Macaca mulatta: one gene and its partner. The protein of the gene in region 1 purifies or fractionates together with the protein of each later gene. This does not show direct contact. Links are inferred from orthologs where the notes say so. Each region holds a gene or a part of one and is shown on either strand. Other genes may lie near its edges. The genes, in order: SYNGAP1 and YWHAE.

The links.
Region 2: the proteins of SYNGAP1 (region 1) and YWHAE purify together in Homo sapiens (affinity purification with mass spectrometry; 3 studies listed by BioGRID and IntAct, with this or other methods). This does not show direct contact. The link is inferred for Macaca mulatta from reciprocal best matches to the Homo sapiens genes SYNGAP1 and YWHAE.

Annotation. Positions count from the first base shown.
Region 1 is NC_133409.1:148,833,435-148,848,824, forward strand, and holds part of SYNGAP1 (ras GTPase-activating protein SynGAP), read right to left. Parts: intron 14,817-15,390; coding exon 14,695-14,816; intron 12,339-14,694; coding exon 12,185-12,338; intron 11,975-12,184; coding exon 11,876-11,974; intron 9,781-11,875; coding exon 9,157-9,780; intron 9,030-9,156; coding exon 8,885-9,029; intron 8,674-8,884; coding exon 8,529-8,673; intron 6,708-8,528; coding exon 6,471-6,707; intron 6,315-6,470; coding exon 6,113-6,314; intron 5,907-6,112; coding exon 5,728-5,906; intron 5,038-5,727; coding exon 4,996-5,037; intron 4,607-4,995; coding exon 3,535-4,606; intron 3,051-3,534; coding exon 2,877-3,050; intron 908-2,876; coding exon 696-907; intron 1-695. UniProt on the Homo sapiens protein: Major constituent of the PSD essential for postsynaptic signaling. Inhibitory regulator of the Ras-cAMP pathway.
Region 2 is NC_133421.1:2,897,785-2,913,174, forward strand, and holds part of YWHAE (14-3-3 protein epsilon), read right to left. Parts: intron 10,256-15,390; coding exon 10,056-10,255; intron 5,907-10,055; coding exon 5,800-5,906; intron 5,080-5,799; coding exon 4,873-5,079; intron 1-4,872. UniProt on the Homo sapiens protein: Adapter protein implicated in the regulation of a large spectrum of both general and specialized signaling pathways. Binds to a large number of partners, usually by recognition of a phosphoserine or phosphothreonine motif.

The DNA of each region.
Region 1 (15,390 bases):
TTCTCATAAAGGATATCAATTAGAGCAGTGGTTTTAAAAAAATATTTCAAGAAGTCCTTTTCTTCTAATTAAATCTTACATAAAATACATTTAGAATGGATCAAAATAGAGGTGGCTCTGGTTGGAGTGGGGCCCAGGGGCACCCCCCTCCCCGCAACCCCACCACTCTGAAGGTAATTGACCTCTTTGCTGAGGATACCCTCTTTGGAGCCCAGGGCTTGCTGGAGCAGCTGAAAACATACACAGGCTAAAAGACCCTTTCTACAGAACACCTTTCCAAGGCTAGAGAGGGAGGGTCTGCCCAGGAAAGGCAGTGGCTACTCTGGCTAGGGAGCCCTGCTTAGGTTTGGGGTGAACATCACAGGTTAAGTTGAGAATAACCAGTGGGGAGTCCTGGCCTAGGGTGAATGCAAATGCAGTGATGGTTGGACAGGAACAGGTACATTTTCCAAGGGCTTCTGAAGCTACTCTATCAGAAGAGAGGTCAGGGTTTAGTAAAGGGATATTTAATGCACTAAGCAGGTTGCGGTTTCTCTCCATCTGGTGATAGTGGGTGGGTGGCTTCCCGGGGAGGAGAGTGGTGGGCTCTCCTGGTGGGCTCCTGAGTTTGGGATGGGAGTCAGTAGTCGCTCGCCCACTTGGTTTCTTCAGCCTCAAGCTCTCCCTCACAACCCCCTCCCCAGGCCGCCCCTCACCTGCCAATGATGCTCTTGATCTGCGAATCTTTCTCTGCCTGCTGCTGCCTTAGCCTCTTCTCACTCTGCTCCAGTCGGGCCTGATACTGCATCAGGATTTTGCTGGTCTGTTCTTCCTGGGACAGCAGCCTCCGCTCATACTCTTCTAGCTTCCGGTTGGACATGTGCAGCCGCTCTTTCAGTGAGTGAATCTCCTCCTCGTACTCCTTCACCTGCCCGCCGGGCACACGACCCCGCACTGTGAGGGGCGCCCCACCCCAAGCCCACCACCCAGCCTCCATCCCTGTCTGCCGAGCACAGCCACTGCATGGTAAGGGACATCCAGCTGCCTTCCCCAACCCCTTCCCTGCCTGTGGATCATATCCACACACCTGCTTTTGAGAAGAACCTGCCATGGTGCTGAGGCTCCCTCAAAATAGAGCAAGGTCACAGACTCCCACACCCTGAGGTCTATGTATGGCACTTCATGAAGACCCACACAGAAACCTAGACTCACAAGCACACCTTGAGTAACTGTGCTCAGAAATTAAAAATAGGGTGACTCTTCAGCCCTAAGCCAGGCCCCAGAACACATGCTGGAGACACAGGAAGAAAAGGCAATTGATGGGGGAAAGGCAGGTGTTGTCCTCCATGTGACCCTCTCCTTGGCTCTGTCAAGGAGCCAAGGATAGGGGGTCTACAAGTGAATTCTAGACTGAGAATCTAGGAATTCCAGAGCTGGAAGAGTTCAGAAGAGTCATTTTATCTGCCCTATTGGCTCTAGAGTTTACAGCTGTGCTGTCTAATGTAAGAGCCACCAGCCCACATGTAGTTATTTAAAATTTAGGCCAGGCACGGTGGCTCAACACTTGGAATCCCAGCACTTTGGGAGACTGAAGCATGTAGATTACTTGAGCTCACAAGTTCTAGACCAGCCTGGGCAACATGGCAAAACCCCGTCTCTACAAAAAAAAGAAAAAAAAAGAAAGAAAAGAAAAAAAAGAAAAACCAGCCGGGCATGGTAGCACGACCCTGTAGTCCTAGCTACTCAGGGGGCTGAGGTGGGAGGATGCCTTGAGCCCAGGAGGCAGAGGTTGCAGCAAGCCACATCTGCACCACTGCACTCCAGCCTGGGTGACAGAGCAAAACCCTGTCTAAGAAAAATTACAAAATTAAAATTAAATAGAGCTAAAAATTCAGTTCCTGAATCACAACTAGCCACATGTGAACAGTACAGATTACAGAACATTTCATCACTGCAGAAAGTTGTATTGGATAGTGCTAGTCTACAGCCTTTCTCAACAAGGTTTCCTCATCTGAAGCACAGAACAGAAAAAAAATGATTCAAAAGACTATTCCTCATTCTCTGAAGAGGATACAGACATGTATCACCAACCCTTCTACATGCAGAGGAGAGATGTGAATTAACTTCCTACGGTGGCTGCGTTTGGGCTAATATTAGGGCTTAATTCTCATTAAATTTGCTGGTCAAGCCCATTTGAGTCAGTCCCCACATTTCCTATGCTCAAAAACCACTTCCCCATGTTAGGGTCATATGTTGTTTATATATGACCTAATCCTGCAGCCACCCTCTTCCTCAGGCCCTAGGAGCAACAGCTTCCTCAAGTAACTTTCTGCTAAGTTATCTGTGTGTGCCCCAGAGCTCTTGATGCCCCTTGCCCTCAGCCTCCACCAAGTGAGGGTCCGGATGGCCTTTTCACACATGACCAATACATACTACTTTACCACATGCATCCTCTGCCCACTGAGTAACTTATGCCCATGGGACAGTGACTGGGTAGGCCAGACATCACTTGTAATATAACTGCATCCCCCTCCATCCCCACCCAATTTATTAGCTCCTACTGCCAGTAAAGTAACATTTCCTTTCCTAAGCAGTCACAGGAGCCAGGGCTTATGTTCCTCCTGGGGAAGAATATGGAGGTAAGCCTAAAATAGATGATCCCCAGATAGTCTACGATATATATAACCTACAAAATAGAGTTGAAAGTGACTTTTTAACAACTGTGTGTATCTGGTCTCCCCAGATGGACTGAAGGCTTCTCAAGAGGTAATCACGTCTTTGCCTTTTCTTTCTACCATAACTACCTGACCCTGGAGGTTTCCCTTGGAAGTGACTAGAGATCTCCCCTGTGGGTAAAAGGAAACATTGGGGCTTGGAGCTGGTAGAGCCCACCGTACCCTATCCAGCCGGCTCTCATCCATCGATTTTGAGTACTCCTTGAGCTTGTACTCTTCCCGCTCGATGTGGGCACTCTCGATGTCAGCCGACAGGTGAGGCATATTGGAGACCCAGGCCACTGTCCGCTCAGAGGCTGGCATTGTGGGGTTCAATGTGGACGGTGTCTGAGAATGCTGGGACAAGGCACAGTGAGGGCGAACAGAGAAAGGAAAGGTAGGAAAAAGCAGGGTACATTTAGAGGGCAACAGCACAGCCAAAGGAGATGACAGTCCCAGTCCTATTGCCCTGCTGTAGCCTTTATCACCTCTGAATGCCAGAGATGTGAGTTGAATGCCAGAGAATTTCTCCTGTTACTGTTCTGATTCAGGATCTGATTTTTATGCCTCCAAGCCCCCAACTGGCCCTATTCCAGTCACCCCCACGCTACTTATGGATTAATCCCCTCTGGAATGAGAGTGCTAAGAGGGTTCAGTGCCATATCCTTAGTGCCTGGCATAGCACATGGCACATAGCAGGCCCTCTATACACATTTAATGGCCAAAAGGAGGCAAGAAGATTGTAACTTCAGGCCACAGACTCTGTTCCAACCCCACCCCTCCAATCTCCTTCTTCCCTCCCTGTCGTGACCCAGCCCGCCTTCCTCCTGCCTTCACCTACCTGCTTGGTGATGGAGGGCTTCAGCCCCCCACCCCCTCCGCCACCGCTGCCCCCGCTGCCCCCAATGCTGCCCTCCTTGCTGAGGCTCTGTTGCCGTGGACGGGCGGGGCCATAACTTGGCTCTGGGGACTGCAATAGATTCCCGCTGGATGGCCGGGGTTTCTGGGCTGCGCTGACTGTCAACTGCTGAGACTTGCCCCTCTGCAATGGAGGTGGCTGGCCCCCGCCACCCCCACCGCTGCCCCCACCGCTCCCACCTCCAGGCCCTGAGGGGGCTGGCCTCTGGGGACCAATGGTGATCTGGGGAGGGGACAGCATGTGCTGCAGGTTGTCCTGGAGTGAAAGCTGCCGACGGGTGAAGTCAGTGCCAGAGGGTCCAAACTCATCACTGTAGCTGTGGCTATGAAGGATGGAGGCAGCAGGGGGCTTGGGGACCCCGGAAGAGAGGTCCTCACTCTTGCTATAGCCATGGAATGGGGCAAAGGTGTCCCCAGGGGGCTCTCCACCTCGGTGGTGGTGATGGTGGTGGTGGTGGTGATGGGAGGAAGGTGGGCCATGGCCACCGCCCCCGCCATGGCCGCCTGGGGGACCTGGCCCATCAGCAGCCATGTGGAAGAGAGGGTTCTGGAAGGAGAGGGGTATTCGCAGTTGCTGGGCAGGGACACCGTCTGTGGTGACACCCATCTGGCTGAGGCGCATGCCAGCTGCCGTGATGGATGAGCCACTCCCCTGGGAGAGGCGTCCAGCAGGCGCAGGCCGTAGCCCCAAGGCTGCTGTCAGCGAGGCCTGGCTTGAGTGCAGCAGGTCCCCTACGGCTGCCAGGTTCGAAACACTGCTGCTGTTGAGGCGGCCACCAGGCCCATCGCCCTGTAAGTCCAGCATGGACACACTCTTGTTGACACTCAGCATCTTCTGCTCTGGCTCTGTGATGTCCGAGCTGCTCGTGCAGTATGCTGGTGAGGAACGGGCCAGGGGTGGACGGCTTACATAGAACAGGTCTTTACCCCCACCAGGTGGTGGTGGGGGTGGCTTTTCCTTGGTTGGGGAGGGGAGGCGAGCCATGTCCATAGAGCTGTCAGAAAGGAAGGGGTAACACAAGCAGAAGGTAAGGTTGGGGCTCCTAGCAATTGAGCCTTGCTGTGGTCTGGCATAGGCCTTGGGGTGAAAAGTGGGACCCAGAGGGAAGGGCTGAGAGCTAGCAGTGGCAGCCCTGAAGAGGGAAGGCAGGGAGGATGGGAGGGGACGGGTGGGTAAAGGGAAAGGACAGGGCCCCTCCGGGAAGGGGGTGAGGCCTAGAGGAGGGGAGATGGGGGCAGCAAGAGAAGGAATGGGGACAGGGCTGGGCAGATATGGAGGAGATGAGGTCCATGGAGGAGGAGAGGAGTAGGGCGAAGGCCAGTGGAGCAGGAGAGGGAACAGACAGGAGAGGAGAGGAGGGCGGGGGAGGGGAGAGCCCCTCACCTGTTGAGGCCTCGAGCCATGAAGGACTGAAGGTCGATGGAGCTGGAGAGAGATGGAAAGAGGGGCGAGCACAGACAGAGAAGGAGAAAGATATGGACAAATGAAAGGAGAGGCGGGAATGGTGGCATGGGTATGGTGTCATGGAGGAAGACACGGGCAGAGGAACAAGCAGGGCCATCATCAAAATAATGAGCAGCAAATGAGGCACGGGCACCACCCATGGGAATTGAGGCTGGGACTCTGGAGCAGGCTGCAGGCCCTACTAGGCTTCTGCTGCCACTGCTCTAAGTGCTGGATCATGGGGAGGTCTGTGAGGTTTTGGTTGGGGGCTAGGGGAAGTGCTTATTCACTAGCTATTACTGAGATGTTTGAATATTTTGACACATAGCTGACATGACGTGCTGGCTGAACCTCAGCCTGGGGACAAGCATAGGCAAGCAGAGGGACAGCAAATCAGAGCTTGCAGCAGGGATGCTCTAGGCTTACAACTAAGCCGTGAGTTGGTGGAGCCTCAGCCCTCTTCCTAAAGCTCCACATCTCTCACTCCCTCAGGCTGTAAAGGGCTCTCAGCCTACCACTGACTGTACCTGTCTCCTTACCAGTCTTCCCTGAGAACTTGGTGCTTTTTCCTTTTTTCAAGCCCTAGAGAGATGCGTGTGGGGCCCAATGAGGAGTATCTAGAACAGGAGAAGGGCTCCTAGGGCACAGGCCTGGCTGTCCCAGGGTGCTCACCTGTTAAGGTCCCGCATCATGTAGCCCTGCATCTCAGCCGATGGCCCCCGCAGTACCACGGGCTGAGGCCGGGGCCGCTCACTCTGGCGGCTTGGCTGCCTTTGGATGTTGGGGTTCCTCAGAGCTGTGCTGATGTCATTGAGGAGCCGGGGCAGTGGGCCCAGCTTCAGGAGGGCTTCCTGGAAGGGTGAGGCTGTTACCTGGGGGCTCAGTGCCCAGCTCTAAGAGGGCCTCTGAGGGTACAGGTGGAGGGGGTCTGAGCTGGGATGGTAGTGGTGACACCTCGGGGAACAAGGGGAGAAAAAAAATCTTCAAAGGGTAGTTTCTTAGGCTCCAGGAACCTCTGGAGTCATCTGGGGATAGGGCAAAGAGGGGATCTGCTGACCTTGCTCAGCTGGGGCAGCACCTCCCAGAGCAGGGCATGCAGTGTGGAGAGCTCTCGGCCCAAGTCGATGTAACCCTCAAAGCTACTGCTGTTGGTTAGCGTGTCCAGGTTGGAGATCTCATACAAGAACTGCTGCATGGAACCCCATTCCAGCTCCAGAAACTCATTCATGAAGCCCAGAAAGTCCTCCTTTGAGGTAAACCTAGCCAAGAATCCAGAAGATAAAGGTCACAGACACACACACAGAAAAGGTGTCATAGCCTCCCCATCTCAGGATCTCTGGGGACTCAGGAGACCCTTCTTGCCCACCCCCAGCCCTGCCACGCCCTGCCCTGCCCTCTCCTGAAGCTTCCCTCACTTGGAAAAGTTGGCCAGGTTCTGGATGACCTTGGCAATGAGGGTGAGGGTGCGTGAGGTCTGCTCATCTGGGTACTCCTGCATAAGCCCAAAGAGACTGGGCGACATAATCGCTGGGCAGAGGAAGCGCAGGAAGAGCGAGGCGCTGATAAGCCTGTCTGCGATGTCCTCCCGGCCTCGCTCTGCGCAGCGCAGCCGCCACGAAGCAAACACCTCCTTCAGCTCCCTCGGGAACACGCTGGGGGGAAGGGGCGGGGAGACAGAGAGAGAGAGAGAGAAAGAGAGAGACCGGGACTGAGCCCCAGAGACCCTCAGCTTCCAGGGAACATGCTGAGGGGGGTGGTAGGAGGTGAGGGTGTGGAAACAGAGGTGAGAGAGACAGGGAAGGAGGGACCGCAGGAGCAAGATGGGAGGCTGCTTGAAGAAGGGGGCCATGGCAGAGGGAACAGACAGATTAGGGAGAGAGAAATGGAGGGGGAGAGAAGGTGAGGGGAGAGACACGTGGGAGAGAGATGGAGGGGTGTGGGAGAGAGACAAGGAGAGGAGGAGAAGAAAAACAGACACCAGGGAGAGACAAAGATGGGAGAGAGATGGAGGGTCACTTGAGGTACAGGGAGCTCGGACCCCCCAACTCTTCTGGATTCCAGGGAAATGGGGATGGAGGTGCCCCAGGCATGATCCCCAGTCCCTGGAATGGCTCAGAGCTCACTCCCCCCACCTCCCAGATCCACTTCAATGTCCCACTGACACCTTAAACTCTACTGGTGTAAAGCAGAGCTCACCACCGCCCCCACACCTCCAACTGGCTCCTCCTCCTGACTTTCCTGGTTGTCAATGAGGCCACAGGTCTCCCAATCACCAGCCTCATGGCCTCTTGAGTCATCCGTGACTCCCCGCAGATATGCTCCCTCTTTTCCAATAAGCTGACAATTCCTACTGATCCTTTCCTCAGAGGGTCCTTCCAGTAGCTCCTTCCTAACTCTGTCACTGTTCTGATTCAGGATCTGACTTTCATGCCTCCCAACCCCCAGCTGGCTCTACTCCAGTCATCCCCCCACATACACCCCTCTATTCTACTATTTATAATCTACTTATGGATTAATCTTTTTTTTTTTTTTTTTTTTTTGAGACAGAGTTTCACTCTTGTTGCCCAAGCTGGAGTGCAATGGCGTGATCTTGGCTCACCACAACCTCCGCCTCCTGGGTTCAATCGATTCTCCTGCCTTAGCCTCCCAAGTAGCTGGGATTACAGGCATGCACCACCACATCCAGCTAATTTTATATTTTTAGTAGAGACAGCGTTTCTCCATGTTGGTCAGGCTGGTCTTGAACACCTGACCTCAAGTGGTCTGCCCACCTCGGCCTCCCAAAGTGCTGGAATTACAGGCATGAGCCACCGTGCCCAGCCTATGGATTAATCTTCTAAATCACAATACTTCTGATACCTTTAATGGCATCCCAAGGCCTACCAATGACCTCAGACTCCTTGAGGCCTTCCAGTTTCTAAAGCTAATCTTCCTGCCCAGACATCTCTCCCACCACTCCCCATCATGAGGCACATGCTCCACTAAACCTGATGTAATTGCTACTAAGCTACTCTAATGTCCCCTGATAACTCCTGGGCCTTTTCACCATCACACATGTGCCTTTCTCACAGCCTTCTTCTGAAATGTCTTTCTTGCCAACTATGTCCACATATCAGAACCTAAACCAGTCTTCAAAGCCTACCCAATGGGGCACCTCTTCCCCGCTTATCTCAATTAAAGCTCTGCCTTCTCTCTGACCTTCTATCACACAGAGGTGGGGGGACCCTTACTCAGAACTTACACACCATTATGACTCTGTGGCTTTTTTTTCCCTAATTTGTCCCCACTCATTCTGGTGGAGGCCCTCTGAGGGCAGGGACCAGGCCTCTTTCACCTGTTTGCTCTATAGTGCCTAGAACAATGCTTTGCCCATAAATGGTTCTCAGTCCTCTTTGAGGATGGACAGATAGATGAACAGATGAACACATAATTCCCCCGACCCTGGCCCCCCAGCCCAGCGTTCCCAGTCTCACCAGTGGGAGTTGACCACCTTGCACAGGGCCAACTCACAGCACATTCGCAGGTTGGCCTGGTGCTCTGCCAAACTGGACGCTGTGCACTTGATAGGGTCTACCTCGCAGTTTTCCTCAGACTCATACAGAGCACGGATGAACTCTCCTGGAGGGTGGCGGCACAAGAGGGTGTGGTCACACTTTTCAAGGGCAGGGAAGGGGGTGGCCAGGGTTGGGGAAATTTCAGAATCAGGTGTTGGAGGCTGGAGTCCTAGGACTCTGGGTTAGGAAGTATCAAGCTGTGGAAGCGTGGACTTGGGATCTGGGGTGGACATCTGGCAGGTTTGGGAAGAAGAGGGCCTAAGTGTGGGCCATACCAATGGCATCCTTGAGGTATTTCTGACCAATCAGTCTCATATACTCTTCTATGGCTTTAGTGGCGAGCGTGTTCTCGCGGAATATGAGGTGCTCCCGTTCCATGAACCGGTCTACCTCAGACATGGCCATGTCTGAAAGGAAGTCCTGAGGCCCAGGAAAATCCAAGTGTCAGCCTCTGCACAACCCAATCTCGTGAATTTGCCCTGTCCTCACTAACCCCCAAGCAAGTGCCCATTCCCAAGTCACCTTTCCCTGAGGGCACAACACTCACCTTGGCCTTGCCTGTACTCTGCAGGATGTGAACTAGTGCACTGGCAACCTCCTCCTTGCCTTTGACATTCAGGGCAGGCTCCAAGACTGCACACAGCATCCGATAATGGTTGGTGACATACTCTGCAAACTCTTTATATAGCTCCATGGGCAAGATGCTCATTGTCTGGTAACGTGCTTTCAGCCGTACAGCCGGGCAACCTCCTTTGCCCTTGCCCCCTGAGCCGCCCCCCGAACCTCCTCCCCCTCCCGAGCCCATGCCCCCAGATCCCCCACTGCCTGTTGGCAGGGTTACAGGGTACCACTGCTCTGTGAAGTGGCGCCCAGCCAGGGTGGCCACTGGCACAGTCACCAGGCCGACATAGCCCGCCTTGTCCTTCTTGCGCTTTTTGTCTGAGTCACGGTACAGATGCAGCCGCAGGGCACGGACAGCCGGCAGGTTGTTAAACTCGAAGTGCTCGCCCCAGAAGACGGTGTCCCCTGAGGCAGAGCGGGGCTTGGAGGTGGTGCGTGCATACAGCATGTCATCCAGGCAGAGCTCGCAGTAGTACCGCTTCTTGGGGGGCAGCTCTCGGGCCTCTATGATCCACAGCTTTAGCACATTGTCTACCCGGCGGCTGTTGTCCTGGCATGGTGGGGTGGGCACGATGTTAAAGGGGGAAGGGACAGAGAGACACCAAAAGAGGAGAGACAGTAAGAAAGTGGGATACAGACAGCAATCATAGGTGAGACGGTGTACTGGGTTGAACAGTATCCCACCAAAACTCATGTCTACCCTGAACCTGTGACTGTGATCTTATTAGGAAACAGGATCCCTGCAAATGTAATCAAATTAAGAAGAGGCCAGGCACGGTATCTTATTCCTGTAATCCCAGCACTTTGGGAGGCTGAGGTGGTGGATCGCCTGAGGTCAGGAGTTCGAGCCAGCCTGGCCAACATAGTGAAACCCTGTCTCTAATAAAAATACAGAAAAAATTAGCTGGGCATAGTGGCACGTGCCTGTAATCCCAGCTACTCGGGAGGCTGAGGTAGGAGAATCATTTGAACCTGGGAGGCGGAGGTTGCAGTGAGATGAGCTCATGCCATTGCACTCCAGCCTGGGAAACAAGAGCGAAATTCCATCTCAAAAAAAAAAAAAAAGGCCATACTGAATTAGAGTTGACTCTTAATCCACCTTATAAAAATTGATGTCTTTATATGGAGAGGGAGATTTGGAGACATAGAGATACAGGATACAGAGACACACAAAAGGAAGCCAGCTACATGAAGATGGAGGCAGAAACTAGACATATGCAGTTACAAGCCCAGGAATGCCAAGGACTGCTGGCAACCTCCAGAAGCTAGGAAGAGGCAAGGAAGGATTCCCTGCTACAGCATCAAAAGGAGCATGGCCCTGCTGATACCTTGCTTTTGGACTTCCAGTCTCCTGAACTGTGTGAAAGAATAAATTTCTGTTGTTTAATGTGACCAAGTTTGTAGCAGTTTGTTATAGCAGCCCCAGGAAACTACTCTAGAAGCGTAGTTCATACACTAGACAACACAAACAGTATTGGAAAGAGTTTTAAAGCTGGAATAACAAGCCAAAAATATTAATGTAGAATTTAAAGGGAACTGGAAAGTCCTGCAGAGACTATCAGAAATTGTGAAAAAAGAATTGTATATAGAATGGGTAAAGCTTGGCCAGGTGTGGTGGCTTATGCCTGTAATCCTAGCACTTTGGGTGGCTGAGGCAGGCAGACAACTTGAGGTCAGGAGTTTGAGACTAGCCTGGCCAACATGGTGAAATCTTGTCTCTGCTAAAAATACAAAAATTAGTCAGGTGTGGTGGTGCATGCCTGTAATCCCAGCTACTGGGGAGGCTGAGGCACAGGTATGGCTTAAACCTGGGAGGCAGAGGTTGTAGTGAGCCAAGATCACACCACTGCACTCCAGCCTGGGTGACAGAGTAAGACTCAGTCTCAAAAAAATAAAATAAAAAAAAAAAAAGAATGAGTAAGGCTTGACAGTTGGTATAAGGGCCTGGGGGGATACAATTGAGCACAAGCTAATGGGAAGGCTCAGGTGATATTGCAGTGTGTGGAAAAAGAACATGGTGTTTGTACTCTGCATAGGTCAGATCATGTCAGCATCTTGGGTTGAGTTCTTTAAGGACATCAAGACACAAGAGTTCCCCCCAGAGGAGGGTGACTACGACTGTAAGCTTGCTAGAAACTGGGATACAGAGAATAGCTGACAGAACTGAAAGCATGAAGTTTTGGGAAGAACACAGACTCACAGAATTTATGTGCCAAAGGGAACTTAGAGATCATTTAATCCAACCCTAAGACAGTTCCCTCTGTCTTAGAGAGGAAACCAAGGTACAGAGACTTGGCTAAGTGTATTTTATGTGTCCTGCGGGGTTTTAGTGAAGCATTCCTGCCTGCAGGGAAGCTAGACTAAAGGATTTCCAGAGCCCCGTCAACTCTGTAAGTCTACGACTTATATGGCAGGGAAAGAGATAGTAAGGCAGGGTAGCAGTACAGAAAGTACAGAAAGAGAAAAGAAATGGGGGACTCAGAATAATGGGGGTCTCCCCCTTCTTGTCCAGGTACCCTGTACTTCAATCCTCTCCTTCTCCAAGCCTCTCCTCCTTTAACTCACTTTCCTCCCTAGGCCCCCAACTTTCCATGTTGGCGCAACCTTTGCCCTGCACAGGTTATGTCCCCTTTATTCCCCAATACCTTGTTGGGCTTTACTGCCCGCTGCAGATTCTCAATCCATTTGTCTCTTTCGGCTGCAGACCGACAGGCAAAGCATTTTGTTCCTGATGAAGTTGTTACCTAGAAAGGAGTGTGGAGTTGAGGGAAAGGGCTACAAAGGGAAGGAGACTCTGCTACTTTCTCTTCCTCCCTGGCCTATCCTCCTTTCTTCCAGTCCCAAAAGTTTGTTTCCTTGATGTCCCCACCTGTGCCACTTTCTCTAGACCTCTCTGCCCCCCACCTTCCATTGCCCCTTTCCTTTGGCCCTCCCCAGCCCACTAGACCCAGTACCTCAAAACAGAACTCCTGGCCCAGGATGGAGCTGTGCACTGGCTTGATAATGGAATCTTCATCCAAGTTGAGCTCCAATGCCTCAGCTGCACTGCTAGGACTCAGCAAGGACTCATGAGAGTGCGACTCCTTAAAGCTTTGCATCAGCCGGGCCCTGGCAAGCAGGAGGTTCAGGAGAGGCGGGGATCAGGGCCCCCCACTCTTTTTTTTTTTTTTTTTTTTGAGACAGAGTCTTGCTCTGTTGCCCAGGCTGGAGTACAGTGGTGTGATCTCGGCTCGCTGCAACTTCTGCCTCCTGGGCTCAAGCGATTCTCCTGCCTCAGTACACCCAGCTAATTGTTTTTCTTTTTTTTTTTTTTTTTTTTTTTGTATTTTTAGTTGAGACACGGTTTCACCCTGTTGGTCAGGCTAGTCTTAAACTCCTGACCTCACGTGATTCAGCCTTCCAAAGTGCTGGGATTACAGGCATGAGCCACCACGCCCGGCCCCACTACTCTTCTTAGACACATAGGGATCCTGCACCATCAGTCTGTTCCAGGATGGAGACTTGGAGAGAAGGCCCCCTGAACACCCTTCCCAGACAGGCACTGAAAGAAACCCTGCCTATCTCAGGAAGGACATGAGGGATGTGAGAGAAATGAGAATCCTTTAAGGAACTCCCCTGCTCCAGCTGGGCCTGGTGGCTCACGCCTGTAATCCCAACACTTTCAAAGGCCGAGGTGGGAGGGTCACTTGAGCCCAGAAGTTCGAGACCAGTCTGGGCAACACAGTGAGACCCTATCTCTATTTTTAAAAAAAGGAAAAAAAAAAAGAAACTCCAACCATCTCACACCTAAGGGATTGTGAGGACTGGGGATACCTAGAAATATCTCAACCCAGAAATGGACCATGGCAGAAAAGAAAAAAAAAAGGAGAGAACAAAGTGGGCCTGGGGCACTTCTAGGTAGTACCTCCAGGTAACCCCAGAAACCAGAGCCTCAGTATAAAGGAAAAAGTGGAAGAAGTGATGGCACAGAAAAGAGATATGTCTAGCCTGGGCCTGGCACACAGCTAGTGCCTAATAAACATTTAATGATTCAAAAAGTGCCTAATAAACATTTAATGATTCAAAGAATGAATGAACATAGCATAAGAGGACAAGTTTTAGCAGAACCAGGGGAAAGAGTGAGGGAAAAGCATATGAAACAGGAGAAAGCTAAGGGCAAAAAAGAGCTGAATGAGGATAAAAGACAGAATATGGGGACTAGGGAAGAAGAGAAGGTAGGGCAAGGAGAAAGGGGAAGACAAAGGTATGTGCAGCAAGACAGAGGACAGGAGAAGAGGAGGAGGGCCAACTGGAGAGGTGGCCAGGAGAACCGAGGTGGGGGCTAAGAGGGGATGGAATGCAAAAAAATCACTGCAGGAGGGCAGAAGATAAAGGGGACTGGGGGCATGGAATAATGAGGGGTAGGATAGCAAGCGGTATGGAGATGGGCAGGGGATGAAGAGTAGAGAGCAGTGGGAAAGCGGGAGGGGAGCTCGGGTGTGGGAGCCTCCAAGAAGTTATTTATAGCAGCCCCGTCATCGCAGGCTCTGGCTGCCGTCAGCGCGACGCTCCCCCGGCCCCCGGCCCCCCCCCGCCCCCGCGGCCAGGAATACCATGCCCTCACCCCCTGCCGGCCCCAAATCCAGCTCTGGCAACATGGGAGGGGGGCAGGGAAAGGTGTAACTCACTTTATCCCAACCTCCCTACCTGCCCAATCCTGTGGGTGGCCAGACGTGGTGGAAAGGGAGGGCATGGTTCTCCCTAGGGAGTGACTGGGTGAGGGGGAAACCCAGATAGGAACCCCAAATGGCAGACAACAAAGGCAAACAGTGGAGGTCTCCTTCAGCCTGGCCTCAGGGCCACTGCCTTCTGGACGTCTCTACAGGCTGCTTCTTCATGCCTCAGTCCATGGATTGCTCCCCATTCTGTCACCCTGCACACCTGTCCCAGACTCCCCTTCTCTGCCATGCTCTATACTGTCTCTTCCTTCACTGATGAGGTCCTTGAGCCCTAGCCATCATCCATTCATTCAGCCACCCCCAGCCCCGCTCCAACCTGCTGCCCTGTATTTCCTGACCTTCCCTGACACCCTTCCACCTAGAGCCTATTGCTCACTGACCTACCAACCCCTTCCCTGCATTCCTTAAACGCTCCTCCAGGGTCACTCTCCTCCTGTACAGCTCCTTTGATCCTGGGCTAGAGCCCATCCTTCTTGGCCTGAGTAGTCCCTGAGGAGTCACTACTTGGCTTCACCTTCATTCCCTTTCCAGCCTCTCTGTCTTCTCTCTGCCACCCTACCCCTCTCCTGCTACTCACAGATCCCTATTCTAGTTATTTTCTGTTCTGTCCCCTGCCCCGTGACATCCCCCAACCAACTTGAGTTGAATCCTTCAACCTTTGCACACAGATAACCCCCTCCCTCTGCATCTCACACAAGAGACCCTACATTACATTGATCTCATCCCACATGCTCCAGCCCCTGTACCGGTCATGGTCAGCACTTCGGAATCGAGGCAGGATCTGGCGAAAGCTGCTGGTCCGGTCAAGTTTGGGTTGTGACTTCGTTCGTTTGATGGAGCTTTTTAGCCGTCGGCTCAGGAAGCCTTGCTGGGGGGGAAATGGGGATGGGGTGTGTTGGGGCAGGGTCAGTTCTACCTACTCATCCCTCAGCTGGTAGATAGTCCCTGGATGAAAGTGGGATGGGGAAAAGGGAAGTCTCCAGAGGCGAGGAAAGGGGGATAGGAACCCTAATACCAGTTTGTCTTCCTTGCTCCCACAGGTACAGTGCAAGCACGCGTGCACACACACACACACACACACACACACACACACACACAGAGCTTGGAGAAAGTGGGAGGGCTGGTCTCAGAAGCAGAGGGGCAGAGCCAAGAAGGGGGAAACCAAAGAGGTGGGGAGACACACACACACACACACACACACACACACACACACACACACTCTTTTTCTCAATCTCACTTGGGAAACCAAAGAGGTGGGGAGACACACACACACACACACACACACACACACACACACTCTTTTTCTCAATCTCACTTGGGAAACCAAAGAGGTGGGGAGACACACACACACACACACACACACACACACACACACACACTTTTTCTCAATCTCACTCCCTCTTTCCCCCTCCTGCCCTCTTTCTCAGACTCCTAGGGCCCGA
Region 2 (15,390 bases), on another chromosome or scaffold:
GGTCTCGATCTCCTGACCTCGTGATCCGCCGGTCTCGGCCTCCCAAAGTGCTGGGATTACAGGCTTGAGCCACCGCGCCCGGCCCCAAGTTTTTTTTTTAAGAGATTCGTTATGTTGCCCAGGCTGGACCTGAACTCCTGCGTTCAAGCAATCTTCCCACCTTAGCCTCTTGAGTGGCTGGGACCAATGGTACAAACCACCCCCCCCCCGAGATATTTAACAAAGTATTAATGCAAAAAGAAAATCTTGGACAATACCTCAAAGTTTAATAAAATTTAATTTCACATTAATGGAGGCAGGGAAGCAAAGAAAATAAAAGGCAACACAGAAGCCACGGAAATGTGGTCATGTAAGCCTTTTACAGTTTTTTTTTTTTTTTTTTTTTTTTTTTTTTTTGAGACGGAGTCTCGCTCTGTCGCCCAGGCTGGAGTGCAGTGGCGCGATCTCGGCTCACTGCAAGCTCCGCCTCCTGGGTTTACGCCATTCTCCTGCCTCAGCCTCCTGAGTAGCTGGGACTACAGGCGCCCGCCACCGTGCCCGGCTAATTTTTTGTATTTTTAGTAGAGACGGGGTTTCACCGTGGTCTCGATCTCCTGACCTTGTGATCCGCCCGCCTCGGCCTCCCAAAGTGCTGGGATTACAGGCGTGAGCCACCGCGCCCGGCCTGCCTTTTACAGTTTTAAAAGAAAATCCACACCTACTGAATACTGTGTACTATGCCCAAGAAATGATACCAGATACCAATAGAAAAAAAAAAAGAGAGACATAATCTAAGTCCACAATCACCTTAAAACTTTAGAAATGGAGGATGGACAAATGTGTAACTATTTTAAAAGAAGGAGGAGGCTGGGTGTGGTGGCTCACGCCTGTAATCAGCACACTTTGGGTGGCCAATGCGCGCGGGCAGATCACTTGAGGCCAGGAGTTCAAGACCAGCCGGGCCACCATGGCAAAACCTATTAAAAACACAAAAAATTAGCCAAGTATGGTGGTGTATGTCTACAGTCCCAGCTACTCAGGAGGCTGAGGCAGGAGAATTGCTTGAACCCGGGAGGCGGAGGTTGCAGTGAGCTGAAATTGTGCCACTGCACTCCAGCCTGGACAAAAAGAACCAAAAAAAAAAAAAAAAAAGAAGACGACGAAGACTCAAGTGCTACTCTAAATGAAGTATCTCAGGGACCCAGGAGGAGCAATTAATGGGAAGGTCAAATTTGAGCTAACCTTAATGGATCAGGAGAAAGCAAAAAGAACACACTTCAAGTTTAAGCAAAAGCATGAGCAAAGGCATGGAAGTGACTTAAAACTGGAGCTACACGTGGGACAGCTAGACTGGAGTCTGACAAGGAAAGGTGCAACCACCAGTATCAGTTAAATAGCCAAAGCTTCTTCAGTTATGACCCCTATCCTGGACAAACTCAACTAGCCATTTAGAATATTTTTAGATTGGCTGAGTGCAGTGGCTCACGCCTGTAATCCCAGCACTCTGGGAGGCTGAGGTGGGTGGATCACCTGAGGTCAGGGGTTCGAGACCAGCTTGACCAATATGGTGAAATCCCGTCTCTACTAAAAATGCAAAAAAAAAAAAATCAGTCGAGCACAGTGAAGCATGCCTGTAATAGTCAACGTTAAAGTTCTAATGTATCAGTTAATCTACTTTCCTCAATCTCTGAAAGGCTTTCACTTAAAAAATCTACTTGGCTTAAGCAGTGGTCCTCGACAAACCAAAAAAAAAAAACACACAAAAAGCAGAAGAGGCCGGGCATGGTGGCTCACGTCTGTAATCCCAGCACTTTGGGAGGTCAAGGCAGGCAGATCACGAGATCAGGAGATCAAGACCATCCAGGCTAACACGGTGAAACCCCATCTCTACTGAAAATATTAAAAAATTAGCCAGGCTTGGTGGCAGGTGCCTGTAGTTCCAGCCACTCGGGAGGCTGAGGCAGGAGAATGGCGTGAACCCAGGAGGCGGAGCTTGCAGTGAGCCGAGATCGCGCCACTGCACTCCAGCCTGGACAACAGAGCAAGACTTCATTGAAAAAAAAAAGCAAAAAACAACCATTTTGCTACTGCAATATTTACTGTAAAAATTTAAAAGAGGCCGGGTGCAGTGGCTCACGCCTGTAATCTCAGTACTTGGGGAGGCTGAGGTGACCGGATCACTTAAGGTGAGGTCAAGACTAGCCTGGCCAACATGGTGAAACCCCGTCTCTACATAAAAATACAAAAATCAGCCAGGTATGGTGGTGGGCATCTATAATCCCAGATACTTGGGAGGCTGAGGCAGGAGAATCGCTTGAAACCGGGAGGCAGAGATTGCAGTGAGCCAAGATTGTGCCACTGCACTCCAGCCTGGGCAACAGTGACAGGCTCTGCTTCAAAAAAAACAAAAAAAACAACAACAAAAAAACCAACAAAACAAACAAAAAACAAAGGAAAAGAAAAGAAAAGGCCAGGCATGGTGGCATCCTCCTCTAGTGACAGCTACTTGGAGGCTCAGGTACGCGATCAGCTGAGCTCAGGAAGCCATGACTGCAGTGAGCTATGAGTGCACAACTGCAGAGACGGAACAAGATCCTGTCTGGGGAAAAAAAAAAAGGTACACACAGAATTTTCAGTCCCAATTCCACCTCAAGGTGAAGTTAAATACAAGGACTGAAGCAAATACTTAATGCATCCATGTTCACAGCAGCACTGTACTCACCACAGAAAAAGGGTGGAAAGATACCCACTGACCACTCAAAGTTTAATGACTAAACAATGTGTCAAAACACGTAAAATGAATTGTGTGAATTCAGTCACGGAAAGGACTGAAGCTCTGATTGATGCTTTTACATGGATAAAAACGTGATGCTAGATGAAATAAAAACAGCCACAAAAGGACAAATATTATATAATCCCACTTACATGAGGTATCTAGAATGGGCGCAAAATTCATAATGACAAAGTAAAATAAAAGTTACTAGCAGGTGGGCAGAGGGGAAATGAAGTTATTGTTTGTTTAATGGCTGTAATTTGCTTTGTGTGGGGTGAAGAGAAAGTTTTCAAATAAATAGTGGTGATTACACAACACTGTCAAGGTATTTGGTGCCACTAAATTGTGTGTGTGTGTGTGCGCGCGTGTGTATTTTTTGAAACAAAGTCTTGCTTTGTCACCCAGGCTAGAGTGTACTGGTGTAATCAAGGCTCACTGCAACCTCTGCCTTCTGGGTTCAAACGATTCTCCTGTCTCAGCCTCCCGAATAGCTGGGATTACAGGCATGCACCACCATACCCGGCTAATTTTGTATTCTTAGTTGAGACAGAGTTTTGCCATATTGGTCAGATTGGTTTCGAACTCCTGATCTCAGGTGATCCACCCGCCTCAGCCTCCCAAAGTGCTGGGATTACAGGTGTGAGCCACCGCGCCGAGGCTATCACAACTTTTTAAAAGTAAAAAGCTATGTACATACAAATATTCCTTACATTTGTATCTACATTATCAAAACCTGGGAACAAGCTGAAGTATAAATGGGGGAACAGTGTAACACACATTAGTAAGACTGAAACTTGTTTATGCTAAAACAGAAAATATAAAATTATGTTTTCGACGAGAGTAACTATTAAAAACATGCCCATAAAGACAGAAAACTGGCTGGGTGTGGTGGCTCACGCTTGTACTTTCAACACTTTGGGAGGCCAAGGCAGGCGGATCACTTGAGGTCAGGAGTTCCAGACCAGCCTAGCCAACACGGTGAAACCCTGTCTCTACTAAAAACACAAAAAAAGTTAGATGGGCATGTTGGCAGGCCCCTGTAACTCCAGTAACTCAGGAGGCTGAGGCAGAAGAATCACTTGAACCCAGGAGGTGGAGGTTGCAGTGATCTGAGATGGCGTCACTGCACTCTAGCCTGGAAGACAAAGTGAGACATCGTCTCAAATTTTAAAAAAAGACTGAAAACTAATATATAAAATTAAAATAATTCTATCTTATAATTCCTCTCATTTCCTTCCTCTACTCATTTTTGTTTTTTTTTTTGAGACAGAGTCTCGCTCTGTCACCCAGACTGGGGTGCAGTGGCCGGATCTCAGCTCACTGCAAGCTCCACCTCCTGGGTTTACGCCATTCTCCTGCCTCAGCCTCCCCAGTAGCTGGGACTACAGGCACCTGCCACCTCGCCCGGCTAAGTTTTTGTATTTTTAGTAGAGAGGGGGTTTCACTGTGTTAGCCAGGATGGTCTCGATCTCCTGACCTCGTGATCCGCCCATCTCGGCCTCCCAAAGTGCTGGGATTACAGGCTTGAGCCACCGCGCCTGGCCCTTCCTCTACTCATTTTAACACGTTAGATTTCAATCTACCAAAATATCCCACATAAAAATACTTACCCTGACTGCTACGCTAGTGGGTTGAGATAGGTCTGTTTTAATACTATCCAAAGTAGTTTCAGTAAGAGTCAAAAGAATCAATACGCAGCCAAGTCTACAAAGGCAGGCCCAAGAAACAATACGGAAAATCCAAATAGCTACCCCTTAACTTTCTTTCTTTTTTTTTTTTTTTTTTTTTTTTGAGACGGAGTCTCGCTCTGTCACCCAGGCTGGAGTGCAGTGGCGCGATCTCGGCTCACTGCAAGCTCCGCCTCCCGGGTTTACGCCATTCTCCTGCCTCAGCCTCCCGAGTAGCTGGGACTACAGGCGCCCGCCACCTCGCCCGGCTAGTTTTTTGTATTTTTTAGTAGAGACAGGGTTTCACCGTGTTAGCCAGGATGGTCTCGATCTCCTGACCTCGTGATCCGCCCGTCTCGGCCTCCCAAAGTGCTGGGATTACAGGCTTGAGCCACCACGCCCGGCTACCCCTTAACTTTCAAGCTGAGAGCTTTTTTCTTCCCCACAACTTACCTGCAGGCACGGTCAGGGGAATTAAGAATTTCGTAGTAGAATACGGAAAAATTGAGAGCAAGACCTAAGCGAATAGGATGCGTTGGTGGAAGTTCTGTCATTGCAATATCACTAGCAGCTTTATAAGCCACTAGGCTGTTCTCCGCAGCCTCCTTCCTGTCATTTCCTGTGGCAAATTCTGCCAGATACCTGTGGTAGTCCCCTTTCCTAAAACAAAACCAAAATTAAAAAAAAAAAAATTTTAAACCAGGAATGACGATTTTTAAAGGAAAATAAGCTAAAATTGTTCTATATTATATAAAATATGCGACAAAAATATATGTAACAATTAGCAGGTATACTTCAATAATTTTAAATACCCTCAGGAATAATTGGCTTCCTTTTGTGTTTTTCCTTAGACATTTCATATTACTAAATATAAGCAAAAATCCCAAGGAAATTAACTGAGGAGCCTCTAAAAATTAACAAAATTATCACCTAATAAACCAGAATTAAGCAAGTGGTTCCAAGGAATGGCATGACTGTTTATTAAAAATAAAATAAAATTTCTATATAAAACACTAAGCACTGTGAAATGTATGCCGCTTGGGGGAAGGGAATGGGATAGGTCTCACAAAAACAAAGAATATAAAATAAGCAAAAGCTGGGAACAATCTGAAGTATAAATGGGAGAACAGTTTAACACACATTAGTAAGACTGAAACTTGTTTATGCTAAAACAGAAAATATAAAATTATGTTTTCTACGAGTAACTATTAAAAATTTTACATTTTTATAATAGTCCATCTTTTTATTCCAATATTAACTATCCTTCTAACATTGAACAATTATTCTTAAATAAAAGTTGAAAACCCACATAGAAAAAAGTTGTAATTCTAAAAGGACCAACTTTCAATCTTACATTTTCCCTTCTAGTATAGAACCTACATTTTATAATAGAAAACCTTGGACTCGCCAGTGTTAGCTGCTGGAATGAGGTGTTTGTCCAGTACATCCAGAATGTCACAACAGATTAACTTTAGCTCAGTCTCAACCTGAAAAAATAAAAATAAATTTTTTTAAAAAATCTGATTAAGTCTAGAAATTCTACAAATTATTACACATTCTATCTCTGGTTTTTAGGAGGAGAGCTTAGTATTAAAAAGAATTAATAACCACCTCCCAACTCCCTTCTTCCTTCTTGACACAAAAGCAGAGAAAAGCTGCCTCTAGGTTATAAAAAGCATCTTTTCCTTTCTGCATGCTATTGTTACATACACACATGCAGGCGCACATACGCCAGCCCCCACACTCCCTTCTCAGTCCAGTTACAGAATTACCAATGACTAAAACACTGATGCTTCTTGATAAATGCTGGTCAATTACATGAATTAACTTCTTCCACAAGGTAGCAATGTAAACACATTGTTCTAAGATCAACTTAAAAGAATTTAATAAGCAGAGCTAGGATTTGAACTCAGGCCAGTTGCAAGGGACAAAATCAAAATTTAAACCCAGGCAGTTTGCCTTCAGCACTCACATTCCTAACAGTCACCAGGCAATTCCTTAAATGGCAGAGATCTGTAACTAGTTAAGACACCAAAAACCTATCTACCAAAGTAGCTATTGCCACCATCTCTATCCACTGATAATGCTGAACGCGTACACCACCTCTGGACGCACATCCCCAGCTTGCTTCCTATTTGCTATTAACTCATGCACTATTGCTGAACCTTTCGTTCCTCTCCATGCCCCCGGAACCTCCGTTTCACTGTAAAACATTCTCTCACTTTTTCTTCTATAATCACATCCTTATCCCAAGCAAAATCATTTTCTGAATAAACCACCGCCCTGACGGCTTTTCCAACAGAGACTGGTCTAGGAAAAGGAAGATTTCTAAGTTCTCCTAGCTCCTTGCACAGTCAATGACTGCTCTCCTATTACTCCAAATCCTTCCTCCTCACAAGCTGATATTCTACATTCTATTTCTCAGCTTCTGTCTTCAGTAGATCTCTACACCCTTCTCCCAGATTCACTCAATGTCTACAGCAAACCCATCCGATACCTGAGATCACACCAAGGTATGGTGTGGCCGTGTTCCATTCGACAAGCTCTTGGCTCTCTACTCCAAGACTTCCACTTGTCCACACCCATGACCGCGCTGCCCTATACTAGCAGTCTGAATTGTAACACTCCACTCTGGGCCCATGGCTTCCTTTTTCAGTTCCTCTTCTCTTGTAATTTCTATTTATGGACTCATCAAGACACCTGGACTCTTTTACTTTTTCCTTCTTTGATTCAGAGTTTCGCACTCATTGCCAAGGCTGGATGGGGTGTAGTGGCTCGATCTTGGCTCACTGCAACCTCCGCCTCCTGGGTTCAAGCAATTCTCCTGTCTCAGCCTCCTGAACAGCTGGGATTACAGGCACGTGCCACCATGCCTGGCTAATTTTTGTATTTTTAGTAGAGACGGGGTTTCACCATGTTGGTCAGGCTGCTCTCGAACTCCTGACCTCAGGTGTGACCCACCCACCTTGGCCTCCCAAAGTGCTGGGGTTACAGGCATGAGCCACCACGCCTCGCCACTTTTTCTTTTTTAATGCATGTATCTCATCTAAGACATCAGACTCTTGAGCTTTTTACGTCTTCTCCCACTTTATCAGTTGCTGTCTTTGATTCCCACTTCCCTTTCCCAGGCAGCCAAAATCCCACAGAAATCCCACAGTGGAGCTCCTGGGCTTGTTTCTTTAGCACTTTCAACTTCCTCACCTCCTCCTTCCACTGGGACACTCAACTTGTCTACTGACCAACCAAATTCTTTGACCCAACATATTTCAGGGTAATGGTTAACACATCAACCCCAGCTTACAATTTTAGAGACAGGGTCTCACTTTTTTGCCCACTACTGGGCTTAAGCGATCCTCCTGCCTCTGTCTTCCCCGAGTGCTGGGGTTACAGCCACGAGACACCACGCCCGGCCCCAGCTCACAACTTTCTAAGTGACCTCAGGTATGTTAAACACTCAAAATCCTGGCTTGTGCATTCATAGGTTGGGATAATGCCTCCCCCTTCCAGTGCTATTTTAAAGATTTCACGTACTACCTTACACAAATACATATAACAGAAATATTTCTCTACTCAGGACAGTGCCCAGTACAGCTGGCGAGTCAGTAACTGTGGTTCCCCCACCTTTCCCTCTCCCAACCAAGCTCACTTTCCACCTGCCCTGTAATTCTCTTCCTTGTTCTCGTTCATGCGTTACGTGCCTGTCTCTTCCACTAAATCAGTTTCTCACCAGCAGCACTACTGGAGTTTGCTGTGGGGCCGTGCTGCGCACAGTAGAATGGTTAGCAGCATCCTGTCTCCACCCCACTAGATGCTAGCAGCACCCCCTAAGTGACAAAAGTATCTCTAGACATTGTCAAATGTCCTCTGAAGGACAAAAGCACCTCTAATTGAAAACTGCTGCATTAGAGTGATGGCTATACAACTTTTTTAACAAGACCTACAATAAGAAACATTTTATATATGCATCTACACACACAGTATGTAAAATAACTTCATTAAATAATCCTTATGCTTACAGTGTTCCACTCTGATATGTTCTATTCTGTTGAAAAAACTAGGCCAGGTGTGGTGCCTCACACCTCTAATCCCAGCACTTTGGGAGGCCTAGACTGGCAGATCACCTGAGGTCAGAAGTTCCAGACCAGTCTGGCGAACATGGTGAAACCCCATCTCTACTAAAAATACAAAAATTTACCAGTTGTGGTGGCAGGCACCGGTAATCCCAGCTACTTAGGAGGCTGAGGCAGGAGAATCACTTGAACACGGGAGGCAGACGTTATAATGAGCTGAGATCACACCACTGCACTCCAGTCTGGGCAACAAGGGCGAAACTTCCTCTTTAAAAAAAGAAAAAAAAAAAGGGCCGGGCACGATGGCTCAAGCCTGTAATCCCAGCACTTTGGGAGGCCGAGACGGGTGGATCACAAGGTCAGGAGATCGAGATCATCCTGGCTAACACGGTGAAACCCTGTCTCTACTAAAAGACACAAAAAACTAGCCGGGCGAGGTGGCGGGCGTCTGTAGTCCCAGCTACTCAGGAGGTTGAGGCAAGAGAATGGCGTGAACCTGGGAGGCGGAGCTTGCAGTGAGCCGAGATCTGGCCACTGCACTCCAGCCTGGGCGACGGAGCGAGACTTCGCCTCAAAAAAAAAAGAAAAAGAAAAAAGGCCAGCCACGGTGGCTCACACCTATAATCCCAGCACTTTGGAAGGCCGAGGCGGGCGGATCACAAGGTCAGGAAATCGAGACCATCCTGGCTAACACGGTGAAACCCCGTGTCTGCTAAAAATACAAAAAATTAACCGGGTGTGGTGGCTGGCGCAGTAGTCCCAGCTACTGTGGAGGCTGAGGCAGGAGAATGGCGTGAACCCGGGAGGCGGAGCTTGCAGTGAGTGGAGATCGTGCCACTGCACTCCAGCCTGGGTGACAAGGTGAGTCTGGGGGGCCGGGGGGAAGAGGAATGAGACAAATTAACCCAGTATATTTGTTGTGTGTGTGTGTGTGTGTTTTTTTTTGAGACAGAGCCTTACTCTGTCACCCAGGCAGGAGTGCAGTGGCACGATCTCGGCTCACTGCAAGCTCCCCCTCTCGGGTTCACGCCATTCTCCTGCCTCAGCCTCCACAGTAGCTGGGACTACAGGCGCCCGACACCACGCCCGGCTAATTTTTTCTATTTTTAGTAGAGACGGGGTTTCACCATGTTAGCCAGGATGGTCTGGATCTCCTGACCTCGTGATCCGCCCGCCTCGGCCTCCCAGAGTGCTGGGATTACAGGAATGAGCCACCATGCCCAGCCAACCCACCGTATTTTTTTAAAAAACAGTCATCATTTTGCTTGAAAATAACAACAGTTCCCCCTTACCCAAGAGGCATCCATTCTGAGACCAGCCAGTGGATGTGCTGAAACCATGAATAATACCAAATCTGATATAGACTATGTTTTGTCCTATACATACATAGCCATGGGAAAGTTTAACTTATAAACTAGGCACAAAGATTAATAACGGAAACATTATAACATACTGTAATGTAAGTTATATGAATGCAGTCTCCTTCTCTCTCAAAACCTCTTAGTGTACCGTCCTACAGGTAACTCAAACTGTGCATAAAGGGGGACGACGGCACAGCAATCTCACCATTTGCCGATATTCCCGAATCATTTTTAGCTTGTCTTCTCCTCCCTTGTTTTCTTCTTTCTGTTCAATGCTGCTGATTATTCTCCAGGAGGCTCTTCTAGCTCCAATCACATTCTTATATGCAACAGATAGGAGGTTTCTTTCTTCAACTGTCAGCTCCACATCCATCCCTGCTACTTTCTTCATTGACTCCACCATTTCTGCATGGGAAAAGGAAAAGTCAGATCTTACAAACTGGAAGTTTTCTTAACATATCCCATTCAAAGTAGGTTTTTTTCTGTCAAGCTACTGGAAAAAAAATTTTTCAACAAAAATAATTTCATAATCATCAAAACTAGTATGAGTAAAAAGCCAAAAACATGTAAAGGAAACCAAACTAAGAGCCAATGCAAAGACTCTAGAATGTAAGTTCTATGGAATCAGGAAGACTTCATATACTATCTAATATAATTTAGTGTGGTCTGAAAGCACCTCTCTAATTAGGCATACCTAACCATTTTCCAGCCAAAAAAAAGGAAAAAAAAGCCGCCAGTTTAAGAGAAAGATTAAGAATTTACAGATGCTAAAACGTATTGTCTTACAAATAAATAGTATTTCCAAAAAAACAAGAGAAGGGGCAATTTGTTCATACAGCAAAAATGTACGGAGTGTATGGTTGGCCACCAACAGACTTTGGATGTTTTCTATCCTTCCTCGTATGAAGCTCCTTCTGGTGAAACTTCTGATGACTCCTATTTGTTACCACTAGGTGGCGAGCAAAGAAAGGGGCCCAGAGAAGCCTTGGGATCTATCGCAAGCATAGGGAAATACAGCTAACAGCGTGTGAATGCAAAGCGCAATAGCACAAGAAATAGTAACTGAATGAATACATTAACAGAAACTTATTTTGATGCTGTATTACCACGTGGCTCTCCAACATTACCCACGTTTGAATCTTTGGTGATGAGACTCAAGAATCTGCATTTTACGCCAGTAGTAGTGGCTCATACCCCTAGCACTTTGGGAACTGAGGCAGGAGAATCACTTGAGCTCAGGAGTTCGAGACCAGCCAGGGCAACACGGTCAGACCCTGTCTCTAAAAAATTAAAATAGAGGCTGGACATGCTGGTAGTCCCAGCACTTTGGCAGGCCGAGGTGGGCGCGTTACGAGGTCAAGAGATAGAGACTATTCTGGCCAACATGGTGAAACACCATCTTTACAAAAAATACATAAAAATTAGCTGGGCGTGGTGATGCGCACCTGTACTCCCAGGTACTCCAGAGACTGAGACAGGAGAATCGCTTGAACCTGGGAGGTGGAGATTGCAGTGAGCCAACACTGTGCTACTGCACTCCAGCCTGGCAACAGATGGAGACTCCACCTCAAAATTAATTAATTAATTAAAATAGGCTGGATGCAGTGGCTTACGCCTATAATCCCAGAACTGTGGGAGGCCAAGGTGGGCAGATCACACTTGAGGTCACGAATTCAAGACCAGCCTGACCAATGTGCACACCACCACAATCCCAGCTACTTGGGAAGCTGAGGCAGCAGAATAGCTTGAACCCAGGAGGCAGAGATTGCAGTGAGCTGAGATCGCGCCACTGTATTGCCACTCGGGGCAACATAGCAAGACTCGTGTCAAAAAAACAACAACAACAAAAATTATCTGCATTTAAATAAGCATCCTTAGCATTCATTAACACCCTAAGCATAAGTATACTTTAACTAACAGGTATAAAGAGATAGTGACTTCATAAAACACTACTAAATTGGGTGGGCACAGTGGCTCAAGCCTGTAATCTCAGCACTTTGGGAGGCCAAGTCTGATGGATCGCCTGAGGTCAGGAATTCGAGAACAGCCTGGCCAACACGGTGAAACCCCGTCTCTACTAAAAATACAAAAATTAGCTGGGCATGGTGGTGTACGCTTGTAATCCCAGCTACCATGGAGGCTGAGGCAGGAGAATTGCTTGAACCTGAGAGGCAGACGCTGCAGTGAACTGAGATCGCGCCACCGCACTCCAGCCTGGGTGACAGAGCGAGACCCCGTATCCAAAAAAAAAAAAAAAAACCAAAACACAAAACAAAAACCAAAACACTACTAAATTAAGGGGAGTGTACCTAATGTATCCAGGAAAATATGTTTCAAAAATTAATCCTTGGGCCGGGCGCGGTGGCTCAAGCCTGTAATCCCAGCACTTTGGGAGGCCGAGACGGGCGGATCACGACGTCAGGAGATCGAGACCATCCTGGCTAACACCGTGAAACCCCGTCTCTACTAAAAATACAAAAAACTAGCCGGGCGAGGTGGCGGGCGCCTGTAGTCCCAGCTACTCGGGAGGCTGAGGCAGGAGAATGGCGTAAACTCGGGAGGCGGAGCTTGCAGTGAGCTGAGATCTGGCTTGAACCTGAGAGGCAGACGCTGCAGTGAACTGAGATCGCGCCACTGCACTCCAGCCTGGGAGACAGAGCAAGACTCCGTCTCAAAAAAAAAAAAAAAAAAAAAAAAATTAATCCTTTTGGGAATATAAAAAAAAGAATATTTTGTAAAGTCTCTTTGAAAAAAAATTGGCAATGTTTTAATAAACATTTACCACATGACTCAGCAATCCTAGTTCTATGTATTATACAGAAGAAAAATAAACCTTTACAAAGACTTTTACACACTCACTCACTCACAGCAACTATATTCATAATAGCCAAAAAGTGGAAACCACACAAATGTGCATCCAGAGGGGAAATGAATAAGCAAACTGGTGCTCATATCTGTAAGATGGGCACCACTCAAAAGTAAAGAATTCACTGTCCATGCACAGTAGCTCACATCTCTAATCGCAGTATTTGGGGAGGCCAAGACAGGAGGATTACTCAAGCCCAGTAGTTTGAGACCAACCTGGGCAACATGGAGAGACACTGCCTCTGCAATAATTAGCTAGGTGTGGGGGTGTGTGCCTGTAGTCTCAACTACTCAGGAGGCTAAGGCAAGAGAACTGCTTGAGCCCAGGAATTCCGGCCTGCAGTGAGCTATTAGGTTGGTGCAAAATTAACTGCGGATTTTGCTATTAAAAGTAATGGTGGCCGGGCTCAAGCCTGTAATCCCAGCACTTTGGGAGGCCGAGACGGGCGGATCACGAGGTTAGGAGATCGAGACCATCCTGGCGAACACGGTGAAACCCCGTCTCTACTAAAAAATACAAAAAACTAGCCGGGCGAGGCGGCGGGCGCCTGTAGTCCTAGCTATTCGGGAGGCTGAGGCAGGAGAATGGCGTAAACCCGGGGGGCGGAGCTTGCAGTGAGCTGAGATCCGGCCACTGCACTCTAGCCCGGGCGACAGAGCCAGACTCCGTCTCAAAAAAAAAAAAAAAAAAGTAATGGTAAAAACCACAATTACTTTGTATAATCCTAACACTGTACTCCAGCTTGGATGACAGAGCAAGAGACCCTGTGTCCAGAAAGAGAAGAGGAGGAGAGGAGAAAATAATTAACTGATAACAAGCAACAACATGGAATAATCTCAAAAAGATATTAAGTGAAAAGAGCTAGATTAAAAAGACTGTCATTCCATTTATATCAAACTACAAAAAACACAAACTAAAAAGACAAAGCAAATGGTTATCAAGGTGCAGGGGTGAAGTGAGGGGCTTTTGTGCAAAGGAGAGCTCACGGAATTGTACCTGTAGAAGTGGCACGTTTAACTGTACACCTCAAGCTGAGGTTTCTAATGCAATTCTGAACCATTAAAGAAGGATGACACGTCGGGTGCAGTGGCTCACACCTGTCATCTTAGCACTCTGGGAGGCTGAGGCAGGTTGGTCACCTGAGGTCAGGAGTTCAAGACCAGCCTGGCCAACACGGTGACACCCCGTCTCTACTAAAAATACACAAATTAGACTGGGCACGGTAGCTCACGCCTGTAATCCCAGCACCTTGGGAGGCTGAGGCAGACAGATCACCTGAGGTCGGGAGATCAAGACCAGCCTGACCAGCATGGAGAAACTCCGTCTCTACTAAAAATATGAAAAAATTAGCCAGGGCCGGGCACGGTGGCTCAAGCCTGTAATCCCAGCACTTTGGGAGGCCGAGACGGGCGGATCACGAGGTCAGGAGATCGAGACCATCCTGGCTAACACGGTGAAACCCCGTCTCTACTAAAAAATACAAAAAACTAGCCAGGCGAGGTGGCGGGCCTCTGTAGTCCCAGCTACACAGGAGGCTGAGGCAGGAGAATGGCGTAAACCCGGGAGGCGGAGCTTGCAGTGAGCTAAGATCCGGCCACTGCACTCTAGCCCGGGAGACAGAGCGAGACTCCGTCTCAAAAAAAAAAAAAAAAAAAAAGAAAAAGAAAAAATTAGCCGGACGTGGTGGCACATGCCTGTAATTCCAGCTACTCAAGAGGCTAAGGCAGGAGAATCACTTGAACTCGGGAGGCGGAGGTTGCAGTGAGTGGAGATCGCGCCACTGCACTCCAGTCTGGGCAACAAGAGCAAAACTCCACCTCAAAAAAAAAGAAAAACAAAAATACAAAAAATAGCCGGGCACGGTGGCAGGCGCCTGTAGTGGCAGCTACTCAGGAGGGTGAGGCAGGGGAATGGCTTGAACCCCAGAGACGGAGCTTGCAGTGAGCTGAGATCGCACCATTGCACTCCAGGCTGGGCAAGAGTGAGATTCTGTCTCCAAAAACACAAAATTTTACAATATGGTAATAAGACCACTCATTAATTCATTTGTAGGAGTCTGAAAGCATTCATTTAAAACATGCCCAATTTTGTTTTCTAAACTATAGTCATGAAACAGGCTAAATTTAGAAGCAGCGGACTAAGTAATCTCACCTCCACACTAGTTTAATTCTCAAAAATCAGCAAGTCAAATATAACTCAGAGGTAAGCCTGTAATTAAACTTTCGTGTTTTTTTTTGTTTGTCTGTTTGTTTGTTTGAGACGGAGTCTGCTCTGTCGCCCAGGCGAGAGTGCAGTGGCACGATCTCGGTTCACTGCAAGTTCTGCCTCCTGGGTTCACACCATTCTCCTGCCTCAGCCTCCCGAGTAGCTGGGACTACAGGCGCCCACCACCACGCCCGGCTAATTTTTTGTATTTTTAGTAGAGACGGGGTTTCACCGTGTTAATCAGGATAGTCTCGATCTCCTGATCTCGAGATCCGCCTGCCTCAGCCTCCCAATGTGCTGGGATTGTAGGCGTGAGCCACTGCGCCCAGCCAATTAAACTTTCTAAACTGATCGCAAAGTAAATCTTAATCCAGCTACACAAAAACAGTACCATTAATTCTTTTAATTTTAAGGCTTTACAATATTCTATACAGAAAAACTACGCACAGATGTCCAATACTACCAAAAA